Linked DNA regions of Drosophila melanogaster. The protein of the gene in region 2 purifies or fractionates together with the protein of the main gene of each other region. This does not show direct contact. Each region holds a gene or a part of one and is shown on either strand. Other genes may lie near its edges. The genes, in order: Pp2A-29B and mei-S332.

Region 1 (6,367 bases), on a different chromosome or scaffold from region 2:
TGTATACACACAATTGATTGGTTCCACCCATTTGCCCAATCAAATTTGCATCTGATCCCCCCATTGACTCCACCACATTCCACGCCGCATCCGATTCGATGGCGCTCGAGCGTCAGACGGAATAATTCAATGGCACTTACGCGTCCACACTCGGTTTCGGAATTCGATTCGAGAGTTAGGCAAACATTGGCCAACGCGCAGCGGAACGGCAAAACAAACAAGCGTATCGCTTCGTCGCAAAAGTCCAACTGATCTCTCGCTAGAAACTGCTCGCCACCACCACCACCACCACCACCATCATCCAATTAAAAAACCAAAAAGAAGCCCCAACTATCGCCAGGTGTCTGTTTGGCGCCTATCGATATCAGTCTAGCTTGCTATCAAAATCGTTTACTGCTGGAATGATTTTAGGATTTCAAAATAAATTAACAGTATTTTTAAAATGTAAAAATACAAGTATTTTGTTTGTATAATCTATGCTTTTCATAGCCATACCTCTCACAAATTATAAATAATCAATGCACCTGCCAAATAATCAGAATGTATATAAAGCTTAATTTGAACGAAACTATAAAAAGGAAAATATTACATTTCCAAACTTTGAACTGACAACTGAAACCTAGAAATTGGTATACAATTTTGGGAGTTAAATATTCAATTTTGCTCCACATTAAACTTTTCAATAGATCGTGTGATATTGTTTCACTACAATTTTATTTTTGCATTCAGATGCGATCAAATGTTCCAAACTCTACAAATGTTTTTAATAATGATCGTTATGCCTATGGTAATTTATATATAATATAAGTATGTAAGTAGTAATGTTTAGTTGTGTGTCGCGTTTAGTGGGTCTCCTCCCATGCTGATTCTCCGATTCTCTCCTTCCTCTGACTCCTGGCTCCATTCATCCCTCATCCAGCATCGGCTGCAGCGTTTAACACCTTCCGGGATCCACTACAATTTTCCGTTCTTAAGTGTTGTTGCTACATAATATGTTTTGTTGCCGGCGTTAAATACATACAGTTTTAAAAATAGAATAAAAAAAGATGCAAGAAGGTTGATTACGCTATAAACAAATATACAAAACACATTATTGCAGACGAACACAGAGTGGGGAATGGTGAGATAACCACGTGGTGATGGCGATGATACCGGGAAAGAGACAAAAAAATATGGCACAACATTAGTATCGGTTAAATATTTGATCCACTGCACTCGCACTTTAATCAGATCGGACATCTAGCCTGGTTATCTTGAACAAACAAACAATCAAATGTGAATACGATTATGACGGGGAGGATTAAACACATTGGCTTGTGGAACTGGCTGGAGACAGCGGGAGGCACATCACACGTCATGTGGTTGGCTACTCATCCTCTAACATTCCGAGTCAAGCGTGGGCGGCTCCGCTGCCTTGCCATTCATCTCCTGCAAAATGTCATTGTCAGCTGCCTCCGGCTGTCGGGGCGGTTCCACTATCAGCTTTGAGTCCATTGCCGCCTCAATTTTGGCGCCCATGCACGGCGGTATTGCCGTTCTAAACACATTCAGTTCCATTTCTATGGCAGGATTTTAATTAAAATTAAAGTCTTACTACTAACTGACAATTTATGAATTTGTGTAACTCTCAGATTCCCTGCATGCCTTAAAACTTGTGATAATGAATAATGTTATATATTGTTCTATAAGTTAGACCCTTTCTATCCCTGTCAAACGCTAACCTTGTTTATATTAGACTGTTTATTGCTTACCTGCAGCTATGCCGGCAATGGCCTGTGCAGCAAAATGCTTGACATCCACATCTGTGTCTGTGTTCAGTTTGTCGAGTGTGGGCTTTACTTGGGCATCAATGACGCTGGCCTCCAGGAAGGGCGAGATCTTCTGCAGGGTCTTTGCCACGTTGAAACGAACATTGGCAACGGGATCAGCGGCAAGCAGGAGAACTGTGGGCAGCAGCAACTTGGTGGTGATATCTGTGCCGCAGACCTCTGCCAAAACATTCAGGCAGAACAAGCAAGTCATTCCTAAAAATCATAAGAACCATAAGCATATATTGATCATTACAATTTCAATTCGATAACTTACTGTGCAAATAGTTCTTGTTGCGCGACATAACCAGAATCATTGGAATTATGGCCTGTTCGGCCCAGGGAGCTCCGAACTGCTCGACGAGCTTCTTCATGTTGAGGGTGGCTGCCTCACGAATGGCGTACACGTGATCGTTGAGCCATCCCATGCAGAGACCGCGCAGTTTTTGGTCAAAGAATTCCTGACCCAACTGACCGGCCAGAGCAGGCATGTACTCGATGATGGCTAGACGCACACGCCACTTGGAGTCCTCGGCCAGCTCGACGATGGCGGGCAGAAGCGACTGTGACAGTTGCTGGATACCGATGACGTCGTTAACGCAATCCAGGTTTGAGATGATGTTTAGGCGCACTTCTGGGCACTCATCCTTGAGTTGAATAAGGAACAGGGGGAGCAATTGCTCCACAGTCTGATAGGCGCCCAGCATGGGACTCAAGCCCATGATCACTGAGGCCAGAGCTGACTTCACATGAGGATTGGGGTCCGAGACAAGATCGCGGACATAGGGCAAAATGGAACTAAGGATGATTTGCACCTGGTTGACCTTGTCCAGATTGGCGCAGAAGTCCTTCACCTTGGTGGCCACTGCAGCGCGAACCTCGGCCTCGGCATCCTTGAGCAAGTACTGGAAGGCAGGCACCAAGTCCACCCTAGTAATCTCTGGGCCCACAGCCTTTTGCAGATCAACAAACTTCTCGGCCACCATGTAACGCACCCTCCAGGAAGAGTCGCTGGCGCACTGGCGCAGCGTGGGCAGAACCAGCTATGGAATATTTTTTGTAAGCCAACAGGTATTAACAATTTCAGCGCTGATCAACTTACGTGCTCTACATCATCCTGAGGCAGCAGCTGGGCAATGCTTACGCATGCCTCTACAGCCAGCAGACGGACAGAGTCCTGGAAATTAAGGATAAGGATTGATATTTTGGAGTGTTGTTAAATTGGTCTTAATCAGGTGCTTACCTGATCATCCTGTGCCAGCTGGACAAAGTTGGGAATCAAATCGGACTTCAGATACTCCGTCTCAACGACCTTGGCAAACTCGCCCAGCTTGTTGGCCGCTGCACGGCGCACCATGGGTGTCTCATCCTGGCAGAGCTTTCGGAAGTTGGCGCGCAGCTCGGCCTTCACTGGCTGTGTGACGCGTGGATAGCAGACCGAGAAGAGGCCGCAGGCAGAGGTGCGTGAGGTGAACCAGTCACCGGAAACCAATCGCTGCAGTGTCGGCACCACATGGATCTCCAAATCCTGGGCGCTGTGCTCAGCGGCCACGGTGCGTAGAGATTCCACAGCCTTGTCTCGCACCACGGTTTCCTCTACGGTGGCCAAACTCTCGAGGGGCGGAATCAAGTACATGGCAAACTCTGGCCCACCAACGAGACCTGGAAAGTAACGGCGGAACATGGTTGGAAATGTTTTCATTAGAAATTATATCTTTGCTCACTAGTAAAGTTGCCCAGTTGGTCGGCCAGGGCCAGCAGTACCTCGTCCTCATCGTATATGGTCTCGGTGAGGAAGGGAATCAACTCGGACCGTGTGCGCTCCTCGCCCAAAGCGAGTGCAATGGTGGACAGTTTCTTGATGGAGTTCAACCGAAGCTGTTTTGGTAAGGGAAAATATTAAAGATGATTATTTTAATAGGGTATTCAAATTTAGGATAAGTGGTAACTAATTCTACGATTTTGAGGTTATTATTGATAGGGCTATTGGTTTTTTTTTACAAAAGCGGTGGTCAACCTGTACCCTACATTTTATTTTCAAAAAAAAACGTAGCATATATATTTACTTAAGATATCTTTTTTAGATAAGATAAGTGATTAGATTATTCGATGTAACGAAAATATTTCATCTTACTATCTCATTTTAAAATCAGTTATGGTATTACTATTGATTGAAGTTGATCTATTTTTAACACGCGCAGTTGTAAATTGTTTTTGCAAATAGCAAATGCGTAAAAACTTATACTTATACATACATAAATGAAGGATAACAAAATCTACAAATAAAAAGCGGATAAAGACGTATACCCATAATTGCAATTAATTGATAATAGTAATTTTTTTCGCAAAACGCTAATCTTGTGTATATCGAAATTCGGTATAATTTCGATGCACACACTCGCACCAACACAAATGCCCATGCACACACGCACACACACACCGTGACGCATTTTTGCACAAATACAATCGCAGATAAAGCAGGGAGTGTGGGCACGCTACCCCAAAATTTAATCACTAGAATATTTCTGCACATTCTTCGCGAGATACAATTGGATTTCAGGTTTTAGGACATGACAAACCTGAACGTCCTCGTTTTTCAGTTCATCGATTAGAACCGCAATGGGATATAGTGAATCGTCGACCGATTTGTCGCTTGCTGCCATTTTTTCTGCTGTTTCTGCTGCTCACACACAAACACAAGCGCACTGAAAATCGGGTCTTCTATTCTGCAGGCAAACGACGAGATTTCTATTTGGCCCTCTGGCGATTCGCAGTTTACTTCTTCAAGGTTACAAAATAATTTCGCAAGGTACTATATTTCGTCGCTGCAAATTTTCTAAGAATCCATACAATTATCCGCTGATTGCTGTTCTTTTCGAACGAAAAACGTACGTCGTTGGTGCAAATTAATATTTTTTTTCTTCAAGTGACACAACGGTAGAGGTGGAACGCATATCGGTTATCATTCGATACTATCGGCGTTTCCGCGCGTCGATAGATTTTCTGAAATATATTTTATTTAACTGAATTCTGAAGAATATTAAAATCACACTTATTAAATTAGGCCAAGAATATGATTATATATCTACATAGATTACATGGAAAATTATAATTCTGTAGCCTTAGTTTCTAGTTCCTAATTTTTAGGTATACTTCCAAAAGCTAATTCGTACAAAACCCAATGGCGCCAATTCGGTGATTTAGCTAATATTTATAAATATGTCTAATAACGATATTAATCGAGTGTTTTTTAGATTGACACAGGCTGTGTGACCATAACTTTTCTTCAAATGTATACAAAAATCCAATTAAATGTATTGAAATTTATTGAGGCTTAATTCTCTAGGAAGGTTACAAACTCGGTCAACTTAAGCAACTGGTCATCGTTTCCACGAGCTGGCGGTGCTTCCTGAACCTTGGGCTTCAGGATTACCCGGTCACCGTCCAGTTCCTCAGTCCAATTTAAGGCCGCACAGGCGTGTTTCAGTTCGTCCTCCGACATTAGTGACAATTCCAGTAGATTGTGCTGGTAAATGGACATATATGCGCTGCCCATTAGTTTGAACAGCTCTTCGCGTTGCTTATCTAAGTAGATACATTATAAGTTTTTATATCCAATTAGTAAGCTTTTAGGCATAGCCATACTTAGAAGATCCTCCACAGGTGACTTTACTCTTTCCGACCACTCATACTTGATGTGTTTGAAGAAATCGGCATAGTTATTGTTCTGCAGGGCAATATTGAGCAGGTTCAGCTGGATCAGTTCCTTGTCATCCCTTAGGTTAGCTGGAACTCTCATCCACAACAACTTGGCATCAGCCCTGTAGCACAAGATTAAAATATGTATTTCTTTTATATCAATCACTTACAGTTTGTTTTGATAGAGGTAAATAGCAAGTAATTGCTGGTAGACTTCAGCTCCCAGTTCGACTTGCTGTAAAAGTATGGTTTTCTAGAATTCCATCTGTAGTGAATATATTAAACGATCACTCACCTCAAATTCCTCGTTCTCAAGCCGCTCCACTACTTCACTATATTTATTTAAATGCATTTTATTGGTAAATTCTTGGTCGGGAAACAATAATGTGACCGTTTAGCGTGCTGCAAGAAATGAAACCTTCCCAAAGCACTCCTGTGCTTGTGTAGAGTCTAGCTGACAATAGTATACATATATCGATAGCTAAATGAATTATTTTTACACAAATTAGCTTTCTATTTCCCTTTAATAAATCCTGTAATAGTCACTTAAAGTAAAGTTTTGAATATCACAACATATTGTAAGCGCATTAAAAAAAATATCGCTAAGCATCCCGTTATCGATAGCTGCTTTGACAGGTCTCCACATCGTAGAGCTGTCAACGTGCCAAAAGTCTCCACCTTCTTTTCGGTGTCAAAAACTAGACTATCAAGATGGGTCGTATGCACGCTCCTGGGTAAAAATGAAATTTTTCATTGTTTTCGATGCCTGTGTGCCAAGCTGAATGCATGCAAAATGTGTCTGCCGTGCGGGTTGAACGAATGAATGTGTTTAATGCGTTTCTACGGTGGTTTTAGTGTGT
Region 2 (4,861 bases):
GCAAAGCAACCAGAAGCGGCCGCAGGTAGCGAACACACTCCTGGCGAAGGTGAAAACTCGCAACAGATCATCAACAAGATACAGGACATTATCAGCGAGATCAAGGAGAACACGGAGCAGCCAAGCCACAACCATGCAGGAGACCATCTCAACTGTTGTATGGGCAAGTTCGAGGTAGTCTAAAAGAAGTGCAATTATCGCCTACCTACGTATAATCATTACCCTTTTGCTACTGTATTTAATTGTAATTGTAATTGTACTTTGTTCTTCAGAGTCTTTTGTAAATGTTTCCAACAACTTTGTGCGAATAAACGTAGTTTGCATCTAAGAGGAATCTATAAAATGAGTTCCCCTAAAAGCGTATTAACAAATAATTAATTGAAACGTTGTTTTATTCACAAATGAACATGTAAAAATTAGACGTACTTTTAAATTCCTATTGGCATCTTTGGGTGATGATGATGATGGAGTGTCTTCCTTCCGATAGCGCTGGATGAACTGAATATGCCCTCTATTGCAGGCAAAAAGTAATCCGATGTCAGCTTTTAGTCTATAAATTAAACTTATCAGGGCCTGACGATTTAAAAATATTATTCATATTAAAAATGGTAAAAAGTGGTATTGAAAACCAATGAAATTACAGAAACAACATTAAAGCCTATTAAAAAATTCGTCTATCTACTTTTTGGCCTTGGCCTTGCCTTTCGAGCCATTGCGCAACTTGTTCTTCAGACTTGGCTCCACCAAACTGGTGGGCCTGCAGCTTCTACTCGGCCTTGCGCTGTTGTTGCAGAAAGAACTAGACATATCCGTATTTTCTGATTTCTTATTAGCCGCAGTTCGGCTTCTAGTTCTTATAGATGGCATTTCCTCGACGAGAAAGGATTTCGGAGTGCTGGTGCTTCCGGCCATTTTGCCTATCCCATTGAACAGGCTTCTTCGCGGCGTTAATCCGTTGACATCAGGAAATATTCCAGACGATTGACTAGGCCTGGTGACTGCCAGTCGTGGGCACTGTATGCTTGGCTCCTGTGGAGAATCTTCCACAGCTACGGAAATAGCCAACCATGATCCCTTCCCAGTCTCTTTTCCCCGACTGAGGGACACTGCTACAGGGATATTGGTGTCCACTTCCCGCAGAGCCCGTCCACTGGGCGTGACGGTGACTTGGGCGTTTGGCGGACTACTTTCAAACGTTGTGTCGCAATAGATGGCCTCGCATGATGATGACGAGTCTGTGGACTCCCCTTCACTGCCATTTTCCTCTATAATGCTAAACAGACGATTGTTCTCTTCATTTTGCTCAGTCTGTGTCTCCTCCACGGGGCTTACTGCTTCGTCGAAATCATCGTCCGAGTCGTCCTCATCAAACACTAATTCCGCTGGTCTTCGTGGCGGTGGTGTAGGCTGTACTCAAGCCGATAATGAATCGTTAAGAAAAGCATAATCAAATTTAAGTATAAGTTACCTTGTTGGCTCTTCTATCCTCTGGTATCCTAGTGGTCACCACCTCGGACTGCACTTCTGCGCTGGAGCGGCGACTAGTGGACGATACAGTACTGGTCACTGAGGAAGATCTTCTTGGCGAGATTGGTCTGGTGGTGCGGGCCAACGCACACGTCCGTCGCATGTCCTTGCAGATTTCCCTGGAGCTGCGACGCGGGCCGCTTGGTCTGTTTATCTGAGCTGCGGGAGCGGGCTCCTGACGCACTGCCAGGGAATCGGAGTCCACGTTCAGGCTCAGCATCAGGCTGCGTACGATACTGATGTTCTCCATGCGCTGGCGATGGTTTTGCAGGACGTGCTCCTCCCGAATGTCCATGATCTCTCGCTCCAAAGATATCACCCGCTTCCTGTACTCGCCGATCTCCAAGCGCTGCTTCTGCACTTGGTCCATTAGCTCCGCATTCAGCAGCTTGTACTGCTGCTCCACTTTGGATCCCATTTGCTTCTTCTGATCTACTTATTCCATACACAAAATCCAGACAGACGACGCCAATAGCTTGTTTTGAATTTTGAAATAGAGTGACCGTTGTTGTGCTATTGGAATATACCCCAGCTTAAGGAAAACTTTTTGAAAGTATGGCAACGCCGACCATGCTCTTAATTAAAATGAAATTCTTTAATTTTGGGCCATATATATAAGAAACAATACAATCCGATGTGAATATATTTTATTTTAATAATTATAAATTTGTTTGTCTCATTTGCACGACAAGAATTAGGAACCGTTGAGTTGGTGCGAATTTGATCGTACATGCGTTACCAAGGGTAATTTTCCATTTAAATTCTACACGTATGCCAAAATGCTAAAATTTCGCTTAGTGGAAGCTGTGTATATTGCGGGACACCGATTTCGATAGGCACAAACCATCGAGAGACATCGATACGTCTATGTTTCTCTTACACCTCTAAGCTGCACAATAAATTTATTGTTTTCTCGACCGATTGCGAAGAAAATCTGGATATCCGTGGTAGATAAACAATGCTGCAGCGCTAGAACCCGGAAATCGAAGTGAATACGCGTTTCGGGAGGTTGTAGATACACCTTGCAGAACGCGAAAATCGCACTGAATCAGAAGTCAGCCCACCTGGCAGTGTGTGCGTGCGTGTACGTGAGTGAGAGTGTGCTGTCGCAGTGTGCGTGTGTTTGTGTAAAAATGAAAATCAGTCGGATTTGTATCGTCGTTGTACGTCTTTTAGGCATTTAGCCAGGCTTTTACACATTTCTACAATTCTTACCAACAGTGGGAGGGACTTTCCCCCCGCACTCACAGGACACGATACACATCACATGCAACACCTGTGCACTCGAAAAACGATAGACGGATCTAGCGCGCGGATTAACTTAACTTAGGAACACGGATACGGATTATACACCATAGTTTCGGAAAAATACATTAGGGAACCGCTTGCTATGCTGTTTCATCTCCGCCAGAGAATCACGACAATCACCTGCTGAAACACCGAAGACAGCCAGCAGCCCAGAGAACCGAGAATTTCATTCACAGAAGCTACGACCGCAGTCGAAAACCGAAACCCGCTTCAAGGTGAGTCTGTTTGTAAATCCAACTCGTTTGGCTTTGTACCCATTTAGTCGATTGAGTGCATCACTCAGCACTCAGAATCCGAAGTGGTACGGACTTATCGAGCGACCTTATCAATTCTATTTCGCACGGTGCCCAGAAATTTGGTAATTTATGGCAAGTTCAGGAACCTCTTCGGTACCAGTTCCATGTAGGCAATTATCTTATCGCGCCCTCCGACAATTTCGCCACGATATTTGCGACTAATGGTTGTGTGTATGTAAAATTGCATTTTCCAAGATATGGGGCTATATCTTATAGCCTCGAGGTACACAATAAACAAACACATACCAGCGTTAGTAGGCAGCTGTATTTAGACTTTTTATAATATTTATTCATATGTCCATATTCCAGATTAATCACCATTATTTGCATATATTCTAAGTATAGCCGACAGTCCATGTCTTGCCCGATTTGATTTAATATTTGAGCTTGCATGAAATTTATTTTTTCCTGTGTCGGAGAACACGAAAAGCCTTTTCCACCGTCTAACCGGCTAAAAGGGGTGCAATAAACTCGGGTCGCTTTGATTTTCTCCTGTTCCGTCAGCGAATGCACTTTGTTTTGGTTTGTTGTCGCTTTGTCTTAATCACATTAAGCAAAACGCCCGGGCACGCGACGCATGACGACACCAAGTGTTGCAACACCAGCGAAGACCCATGGAGCATGTGGCCACCCATGCCACCCCATAACTGACCTACAAAGAGTGCATTGCTCGACGGCCGACGAAAACTAAATTCGCTGACTAGGGGTTGATTCATTCGCTTGGCTCCCTTCAGCGATGTGAGTGCGAATTGTGGCGGTTGAACTTCGATGGTATGACATAATCTGGGCTCTTACTATAGCCATTTGAAGAGGCATACAATCGCAATCTTTACATTAGATTTATTACTTGTAGAGTTAGTCACAAGTTTTAGCTTAAGCGTGCAACTTCTGGTGTCGTGGTACCGGTGTCCGGGTTCCAGTTGTCCAGCACTCCCATTAGCTGAGCAACGAATATCTGATAGTCGAGGAACGTCTTGTTTATATTCTCATTTCTAAAATGCTTTACTACTCTGCGATGGTGGAAAACAGATATCAAAACATTGAAATACAAGACTATAGAAGTTGTTATAAGTAATTTCTTTTCTCTGTACCGAAAATAACCCTCGTGGCCAATTTAGTGCGCTCTTTAAACCATCCACAAGTGTGAATGGGCTTCGAGCTCCTTTCCGTAATGCTATGCATGGCACAAAGGGTCGTCCCAGTCGCCGGGTTCAATGTCATTGGCGTGGCGTAGGCCATGGCAGCGGTGGGCACATGGCACCGACCCATCCCAACGTCCCATTCCATGGCATCCCGTCCAGGAGTCTGCCTGCTGCCGGTCTATTGTCGAGGCTGTTGTGCATGCCCCACTGCAAGTACACACAGAAATATCGAGTGCTGCTGCAGTGACACACGCAAAGACTGGTGATTGAAGGGAGGGTGGAGGTGAAGGTGTGTGGGGCACGGGGTGTGGATATGGGGTTTTATGGCCACGGGGAGTGGGCACTTGTCGGCCTTGTGTGCGGCCATTTGTCAGTCGAATTGGCTGTCGTGCATTTTTCGAGCACTGCATCACACGAGGTCTGATTGGCACGTAGTAGAGAGAGAGAGTCGGTCGTTTCTGTCAGCCTTTATGACGCTGAATTATGCTGCACTTCCTTGTGCAACCTGGAACTGAATCATAAAACTACAGTGAGCTCTCCAGCACACCGATTTCTGACTACAGTTTCGAGCCCCATGCCGAGGGCTTT

The links.
Region 1: the proteins of mei-S332 (region 2) and Pp2A-29B purify together in Drosophila melanogaster (affinity purification with mass spectrometry, with the first as the bait; 2 studies listed by BioGRID). This does not show direct contact.

Annotation. Positions count from the first base shown.
Region 1 is NT_033779.5:8,364,415-8,370,781, reverse strand, and holds Pp2A-29B (protein phosphatase 2A at 29B), read right to left. Parts: upstream 4,745-6,367; 5' UTR 4,472-4,744; coding exon 4,388-4,471; intron 3,687-4,387; coding exon 3,533-3,686; intron 3,471-3,532; coding exon 3,052-3,470; intron 2,986-3,051; coding exon 2,911-2,985; intron 2,852-2,910; coding exon 2,086-2,851; intron 2,025-2,085; coding exon 1,752-2,024; intron 1,560-1,751; coding exon 1,378-1,559; 3' UTR 1,222-1,377; intron 1,067-1,221; coding exon of another isoform or gene 1,062-1,066; 3' UTR 692-1,061; downstream 1-691. Other genes in the region: CSN8 (COP9 signalosome subunit 8), read right to left, coding at 5,143-5,393, 5,454-5,629, 5,678-5,742, 5,803-5,859; RpS13 (ribosomal protein S13), read left to right, coding at 6,219-6,241. UniProt on the Drosophila melanogaster protein: The PR65 subunit of protein phosphatase 2A serves as a scaffolding molecule to coordinate the assembly of the catalytic subunit and a variable regulatory B subunit.
Region 2 is NT_033778.4:22,120,082-22,124,942, reverse strand, and holds mei-S332 (meiotic from via salaria 332), read right to left. Parts: upstream 2,843-4,861; 5' UTR 2,743-2,842; exon of another isoform or gene 2,381-2,742; intron 2,041-2,380; 5' UTR 1,946-2,040; coding exon 1,469-1,945; intron 1,408-1,468; coding exon 679-1,407; 3' UTR 576-678; downstream 1-575. Other genes in the region: GM130 (golgi matrix protein 130 kD), read left to right, coding at 1-183. UniProt on the Drosophila melanogaster protein: Plays a central role in chromosome cohesion during meiosis and mitosis by preventing premature dissociation of cohesin complex from centromeres after prophase, when most of cohesin complex dissociates from chromosomes arms.